2 linked regions of the Coturnix japonica genome follow. The protein of the gene in region 1 purifies or fractionates together with the protein of each later gene. This does not show direct contact. Links are inferred from orthologs where the notes say so. Each region holds a gene or a part of one and is shown on either strand. Other genes may lie near its edges. The genes, in order: ECT2 and KIF23.

Evidence for each region.
Region 2: the proteins of ECT2 (region 1) and KIF23 purify together in Homo sapiens (co-immunoprecipitation; 3 studies listed by BioGRID and IntAct, with this or other methods). This does not show direct contact. The link is inferred for Coturnix japonica from reciprocal best matches to the Homo sapiens genes ECT2 and KIF23.

What each region holds. Positions count from the first base shown.
Region 1 is NC_029524.1:16,995,371-16,999,185, forward strand, and holds part of ECT2 (protein ECT2), read right to left. Parts: intron 3,775-3,815; coding exon 3,644-3,774; intron 2,823-3,643; coding exon 2,707-2,822; intron 2,528-2,706; coding exon 2,465-2,527; intron 2,062-2,464; coding exon 1,839-2,061; intron 983-1,838; coding exon 846-982; intron 202-845; coding exon 82-201; intron 1-81. UniProt on the Homo sapiens protein: Guanine nucleotide exchange factor (GEF) that catalyzes the exchange of GDP for GTP. Promotes guanine nucleotide exchange on the Rho family members of small GTPases, like RHOA, RHOC, RAC1 and CDC42.
Region 2 is NC_029525.1:17,539,409-17,543,717, reverse strand, and holds the start of KIF23 (kinesin-like protein KIF23), read right to left. Parts: upstream 3,099-4,309; 5' UTR 2,975-3,098; coding exon 2,964-2,974; intron 2,868-2,963; coding exon 2,798-2,867; intron 2,502-2,797; coding exon 2,373-2,501; intron 602-2,372; coding exon 496-601; intron 1-495.

The sequences.
Region 1 (3,815 bases):
CATTCAGTAGCTATGGCTTAACACAAACAGAACTTAAAGTTTGCATCATATCTTCCTGTGCGGGGGGAAATTACAGTTTACCTTGATTTTAGTGTGTACATCAAGAATATCTGGAATGCTGCCAAATATAGTCTTAATCTCTTCCTGTGCAAGTATTGGTCCTCCAAGTTGTCCCTCCTTCTCCAACGGAACTTGAAATAACTGATGTGTTAGACAAAGAGTCATTACATCTTCCATGCATTGTGTATGAAATAGTTATGAAAACAATGGTGTTGTCTTCCAGATCATACTTTCCTTCAATCACAATCTTGATACATCCTGTTTCTACTTAACAGGAAGAGATTATGGAAGAGTGGTTTCCAAATGCAAACACTAGGTAAGTTAGCATTACTATAGAATCATCCCTTTATCTCCTCTACTCACATACATTCTTCAGGAATGATAATCAGCCACAGAGGAAGCAAACTTCCTAGGAAGTGAAGCTGTTCCCGTAAACTGCTTGCTATTCTGCTCTTCTTGCAATAGCAAACAGCGTTGGTGTTTTTCCCACCTCTATGCACTAATATCTTTAAAAAAATAAAGTCATGAAGAGCCTATTTTCTTAAAGTTTAACATCTTCATATCAAGCATAGCTTCTAATCTGAGATCTGCAGTTGGTTTATGACTTCCAGGCTTTATAATTAACAACATCCTCAATATACCAATAAAGTAGTAAGCTCATATACATCATCCCTCACACACCCTTATTGCTCCAAGTTCTAAAAAGCCCAAAGAAAACAAGTCACTTACACAAACACCATGTGTCTTATTACAACAGAATAGTACTTGCTGTAATACCAGCTTACCTGAATAATTGTTGTAAGAATATCAACATAGTTACTTTCTGTCTGATATAATTCCTTTGCAACCTGCCATCTTGCAGACTGCTTTAGCGGAAGTGGAGTGGAGTTTCTCGATGGCCTTGCACAGGATTTCGGCGTTTCTGATTAAAAGATATTTACACAAGAAAACTGAGTTCTATAAATGAAAGCTCCTGAAAAGGTCATCCTCCAAGAAGGAAACTTTCAGAATTCAAGGGAATTAAAGAAGATTAAAAGGCTATTCTTTATTTAGACATCATAACTCTTTCTAAAAATGACTTTATTAGTCCTGTTACAGATTAATATTAACATTTTACACCTCAGAATTAGTCTTTGACTATTAAACTACTAGTAAGCCATTCACAGGCTGGTCAATGACTCACCCCTCTTATGCTCAGCGCCAGTTGGAGGCTAAGAGCTGAATATTAATTACACATGCAAGTTATGTTTCTACTAATTTTGCTTTGCTACATCAACAGTTTTCTCAGATACTATATATGCAGCCCAAAACCATTGCTAACCTTCACAAGCAAAGCCTGCAACATTTAACTGTAGGCAGTGTCTTACTATACTAATAGAGAACAATCCCTTAATTAGTATTTAACCTAAATCTACCCTCTTCAATTAAAACAATTGCCTCTTACATACAAGTAACATATAATGCTTTTAAAGTCTTTAAATGTTTTTTTTTTTAAATGTTTGATTTTTTGTTTGTTTGTTTGTTTGTTTTTAAGAGCACCATTAAGTCCTCTCTGTATGTACTGTTGAATATGCTTACTGTGATGAAAAGCAGCCTGCCCCTGTATCTGAATGCCTCACCTTGACCCTGCATACCACACACTTCAAGGAGAAAGTCTAGAATTACTCAGGAAGCCTGTAGCAAATACTGAAAGACTTCACCCTCACCACCTTTATCAATTGTACGCAGAAATCTCTCAAACACTGCAAGTGCATGCAAATGAAGGTTTCTAGCTATACCTCCATTGGTAGTGCTTGATTCTGGAGTGTTAGAAATGTCCAGCAAGGACCCAAGAGAAAGTGAGTGTTCAGCTGATGGGCGCTTCCGAGGAGGAAAGGGTGACATGTCTGTTTCTCTAGTCAACTGTGCAAGAGTCTCTTTCAAACGGCGTCTTTTACGATTGCTGTTTGGAGTACTCAGAGAAAGTTGTGACACAGACTTTTTGAGGCCAGGACTCTCTGACTGTAGAGAAAGAAAGTCCAGTTTAGTCTTTTTACTTGCTGTTTCAAACACAACTCAGGGCAAACATAGGTCAGATGAGCACACAGAACATTTCTTCCCCCCCCTCAGGAAAAACCAGACAAAGCCCTACTTTTATTTTGTAAAAATAAAAATATAAATATAAATACATATATATATATATATATTAAAAAGGAGTCATATTTTTGTTGGTTTTCTTGACTAAAACTAGGTTCAGCTTTCAGTAAACAAAAGATTTTCTCAAATTAATACTCTAGAGGTAAACTTACAATTCATTACCTGAGATTTAAATGCTGCTTAAAAAAACCCATTCATTTCTGGCTCCACACATACTAATTTCACCACCAAGTACAAGCTGTGTTGAAATCATCCACATAATACACACCTTCTCAAATAAATACATGGACTCTCCAGCTCTGGCATCCATTTGAATGCTTCCCCAGAACCACTGAAGAATAAGGAAACCACACATTAAAAAAAATTACAACGTTAAAAATGTTCAAAGTTATGTATGTAGCATTAAGACAATTTGCACACCGAATGCAAACAAGTAGCTTAAGCTAAAGAGAAAAGTCTCACATGGAGCAGCATATACAAGTACTTCTTAAAGAATACGTGAGCACTAACCTCTTGCTTTACAATATAAAGTTTCTTTAAAGGTTCAAACGGAATCTCTTTTACTGTACTTTCTTCAACCACTAAGTGTGTACACCTTTCATCACCAACTGGTAAATAACATCCTCCTATAGAAAAAAGAAAACAAAGAGGTGAATAGCAAGACAATAATATTATTGTTAAAAGGTGTTGGTTTGATAGTTTTACAACACCTATAACCAAGTAAAACTTGCAAAACACCCCATATAATACGAGCAAACAGCAGTAAAGTATACATAGAAAAATGCTGAGAGAAGGCACAGCTTGGAGGGCATTTAAACCTCCCTGGAAATAAACGTTATACTTTACTAAAAAGCTTTTCTTCCTTATTTGTACAACAAGGCAGGTATATTTTGTGTGACACAGAGGTTCTAGCTTGTGAATAATCTTATATAAGCTTTAGTGAAAAAAAGTTCAGGGAAAAAGAAAAAAGGCAAAAGCAGCCAACTTCCATGTTTTGAAGACAGCTTGCTATTACAAGCCCACTGCATTCCCACTTCTGTAGCTCTATTGCATAGATGCTCTAGCAACACAAGGCAGGAAATATTGTTATCTATTACCTCATGACTGTTTATGCAACTCTTAGTGTAACCCTACACTACCAAAAAACCTCAAACATCTATCAAGTGTTTTACCAGTAACACTTCATACCAAAGTTGAAAGTTCCCTAGGATATTTTCAAACACCCTGTAATTTCTTTTAAGACGGCCTAACTTCAATCAGTCTAAGAAGATAGAAGTCTTGAACAGCTGTAAGAACTTAAGACATCTAAAGATCAATTTAGAGCTTTCCATGGTGAGGATTCCTCACTAATGCTTTAGGATTCATAATCCAGGATTTTGCTTCAGTGAAATCTTTACCAGCTATAAGCCCCGTTCATTTTCAAAGATCAGCATTTACAAACAATAACCTTGCATCTCTGTCATTTCTTCCATGCTTGCTTTCTCTTCATCGGAGAATCCAAGGAAACTTAGCAAGCAGTCCTGGAAGGGAGGAACTTTGAACTGATTTCTAACATCATCATCAGCTGCACAGAAGTCACTAGAAAAAAGAGTGTACAAAAGTCACTAAATCAGTACTAC
Region 2 (4,309 bases), on another chromosome or scaffold:
CACAGGACAAACTGACTTGTTTCTATAGTCAGTCTTTAAGAGAGTAACTCACATCTTTCCAATGAAAAAAAAAGCGTTTCTTCAATTAACAGCGCACAAAAAAATTACACCTGGACACACAAAGCATGCACAGCATTACACGCTCCTAGGAAGTTGGACAGGGGAGCTAAACCACAGCTGTTTCCATTGCAAATAAGGTGTATCACGGAATGGCCTGGGTTGGAAGGGACCTCAAGGATCATGAATCTCCAGCCCCCCTGCCAGGCAGGGCCACCAACCTCCCCATTTACTAGACCAGGTTGCCCAGGGCCCCATCCAACCTGGCCTTGTATGGATGGCCATGTATATATATATATATATATATATTAAAAAATCTATATATAAAGATAGATGTATATATTTTGCCTAGACAAGCTAAGAAACCTTAAGACATACAAAATCATAACAACACAAAAAGACACACAAAGACATGACAGAAAACAAGGAAGCCCTTACCGTTTTTCCCACGAATGAGATCTTCAACGAGAGGTTTGGCCACAACATCAAAAAGCTCCTTTTGAGGAACGAGGGTACCAAACACTTCCTTAAATGAATACTGCGTCTGAAGTAAAGGAGACACATCACCCTAAGTCTTAAGTTCCCCTGCCCAGAAGTTCCTTGCTTCAAATGCTTCATTCTTTTTCCCTTAGCTCAATAGAATGACAAAGAAACTGCTTTAAGATTACACCTATGTTTGAACACACACAGTTGCTTTACTATAGCTCCTCTAATAATTGCTTAAGTTTGTATAACAAAGAACAGCAACCTCTGGTTTTCATAGAGCTTACGTCCACCAATAACAATAGTGATCAGAAAGCCTGACCTCACATGCAAATAGAAGAGCTCACAACCTTCAGTTTCAAGTTCAAGTTTCTGTTTGACCCCCAACCTTCATCTACACAGGTACTGAAGGAACACCAAGGACACCCACAATGGATCAAGTCATTCTGTTCTAGAATTTCATATTCTTGCTTTTAAGTTCATGTCTTTTCCCAGCCCAGCCTGTTACCAGTCACAGGTTTGCAATGTGGTTGAGATTGTGTCACACTGAACTATAGCACTTTGTTGGGAACCTGTAATTAGCCATTTCACAACCAAACCGTGCTCAGAGCTATAGCACTCTAACTCCTCAATCTGTACACATGCCCTGAAGTCCCCTTTCCAGTAAACACAATAAATGCTTGCCATAAGTGACCTGCCACCTCCTTCCTACTTTACACCATTTCACCACTTCAAAACACTTTGGATAGAAGGAACCTACAAAGATTGAATCCAACTGCCTGACCTCATCAGTGTTAACCAAAAGCTAAAGCCTATCACTGAGGGTATCGCCCACTGACAGCCACAGGACACCACCCACCCTGTTAGGGAGCCCATTCCAGGATTTAACCACCTTCAAAGTAAATAAATGTTTCCTGATATCCACTCTGATCCTCCACGGCACAGCGTTGTGCCATTTATGCATCTCACTAGTTACAGGGAGAAGAAAACAGCCCACACACTCTTCTCTCTTTATACATTAACTACAGCTTTCCCCTTTGGTACACACAGAGAAACGTTGCTCTTTGCTGACATTAAGGATATACCATCTCCTACCTTGCATGTGCCTGATATTGCTTAGAGCTGGTTTCTAAGAATCAGAGCTCTATTAACAAATCCTACTTTTGCCAGATTTAGCTTTTTTCCCCTTTTGCTCTCACCCTTCCACCCTGCAGAAGCCCTTTTGCATATAGGCCGTGCAGAGAGCCACTGAGGCCCCGAAGCCTGTCCAAGAAGGGCAACAAAGCTGTGAAGGAATGGAGCCTTAAGGAGAGCAGAAGAGGGAACTGGGATTATCAGTCAGGGGGAAACTCAGGGGAGACCTCATTACTTTTTATTATCCCCGAAAGGAGGTTGTGGTGAGGTGGGGGTCAGCTCCTGCTCAAAAGTAAATGCAACAAGAGGTGATGGCCTGAAGTTGCACCACAGGTTTAGGCTGGTTATCAGGAGATATTTCTCCTCTGTAAGAGCAATGATGCAGCAGCACAGGGCAGTGGTGAGGTCACCACCCCTGGAAGCATCCATAGGACAGACATGGAGATGTGGGACACGGGCAACGGGCATGGTAGGCTGGGGTGGGCTTGAGGAGCTCAGAGAGCTTTTCTACTCTTCTCATCCACATAGTGATTCTATATATCGATGCTGAAGGATGGAAACTATACATTCCTGCTCCAAAGGGGCTTTGGGGATTGGAAAACTCTCTTCTCTCAGAGCACCACCTGCACAGGGCCCACGGCAGCAGGGTCAGGAGTGGGACCCCCAGCAGCAGGGTCAGGAGCCCTTCAGGCCGTTACCTCCCGGTACTCCCCGTTGCGGAATATCCTGTATCCGTCGGGTGGGTGGATCTGCACCGTGTTCTCGTTGATCACCTCGATGCAGCACTCCTGATCCGGACGGCTCAGCGGCCGCACCCTGCAGTACACCTATGGGAGGACACAGCTGAGCCCCAACGCAACACAACACAACACAACACAACACAACACAACACAATACAACACAATACAACACAATACAACACAATACAACACAATACAACACAATACAACACAATACAACACAACACAATACAACACAATACAACACAACACAATACAACACAACACAGTACAACACAACACAATACAACACAACACAACACAACACAATACAACACAACACAACACAATACAGCACAGCGCGGCCTGGTCCGGCCTGCTGCCCCCCGAGTCTCCACACTCACCCCCACAGGGTCCTTCAGGCCGGACGGCGCCGGCTTCTTCAGCGCCGGCCTCCGCGGGGTCTTGACCCTCCTGTGGGAAGGAACGAGGCGTGAGGGGCGGCCCGGACACCGCGTGGGACCGGAACGAACCGAGTCGGCCCGGCCTAAAGGCCCGGGCTGGACTTACGCCGCCTTCATGGTGCGGGTCAGCGTCCACCTGCGGCCCCCAACTCCGCGCTGCCTCACCCGGCGGCCGCGCGCCCGTTCAGTTCAAATCCAACCAATCAGCGCGCGCGTCTCGCGTGACGTCACCACGCAGCATTACGTCGGGGGGAGCCACCGCCCATCCCCGCCCTGGGGTGTAGGCCTCAAGCGTTGCTATGGTAACAGCACCGGCCACAGCGCCCCCTGTCGGTGTGGGGGTGTGGGAGGGGCGGTAGGAAGAAGCCATAAATCCCATTTATCCATTGCGATCTGCCCCGAAGCTTTTATTTCCAGATGTGAGTACAGTGCAGGCCATCAAAATGATTCTCAGGGCCGGATCCAGCTGAACGAGACGTGAGATGCCCCAGGAGCCAACCAGGCCCTCAGAGGCCCAAAGCCAACCTAAGCCAAGGAGCAGAATGATGGACACCGGGTGGACACAGCCAGGTTTCATTCCCTACACACATGGACTCGAGGTAAATAAGCTTTACAATTATTAACAACCATCTCCACAGCTGTTATGTTCACAGGCAGAAACAGAATCAAATCAGGTTAGATTTATATTGATGTACATACAAATACATCAGTGCCGTCGCCCTGTTAGTGTCCTCTCTTGGTGTTGAACAATCAATTACGTTCCAGTGCTCATATATTAATACATTGATCAGCTTTCAAAGGAGTTTGTTACCAGAAGACTTAGTAGCCCCGTCATATCTTGTCACTGCAAAGTGCATCTTCTACCTCCAAGAGGTAATTACACACAAAGCCTGTTATACACCCGTATGGTTACTGAGAGATAGTGCTCCACAGGCATCACTGCATCACGTCTGAGGTGCTGGGTGACACCAAGTAACAGCCCAGTGACAAGCAGCCTCAAAGCCCTGAGGAGTTATTCCATGTGTTCTTGGAGAAGCCAAACCCTTGGGAAGGCTGCTTGACACACACAGAACAGAGGTGCCCTGGGTATTGCCTTGAAACGAATGTAAGGCAGGCTGTGGTCTGCCCCAGCCCCATGTTGGGTAGGCACTTGAGTGGAGTGTCAGATAGTTGGGGTTATACCCCCAGCACCAGGAATGTTGGGCTCAGCCCCGGGACCTGCACAGCGTCCACATCCTGCTGTGAGACTCTGCTGCTGATTGTGGGATCACAGAATGCATGGGGTGGATGGGACCCCAAAGCACACCCAGTTCAAACCTGCTGCCATGGAGGTGTTGAGCAGGTCACCCAGAGCCCCATCTCCAGCCTTGGGCACCTCCAGCAATGGGGCAAGCTCAGCTGTGGGCAGCAGTGCCAGCACCTCACTGCTGTTGGGTAAAGGATCTCCCCCTA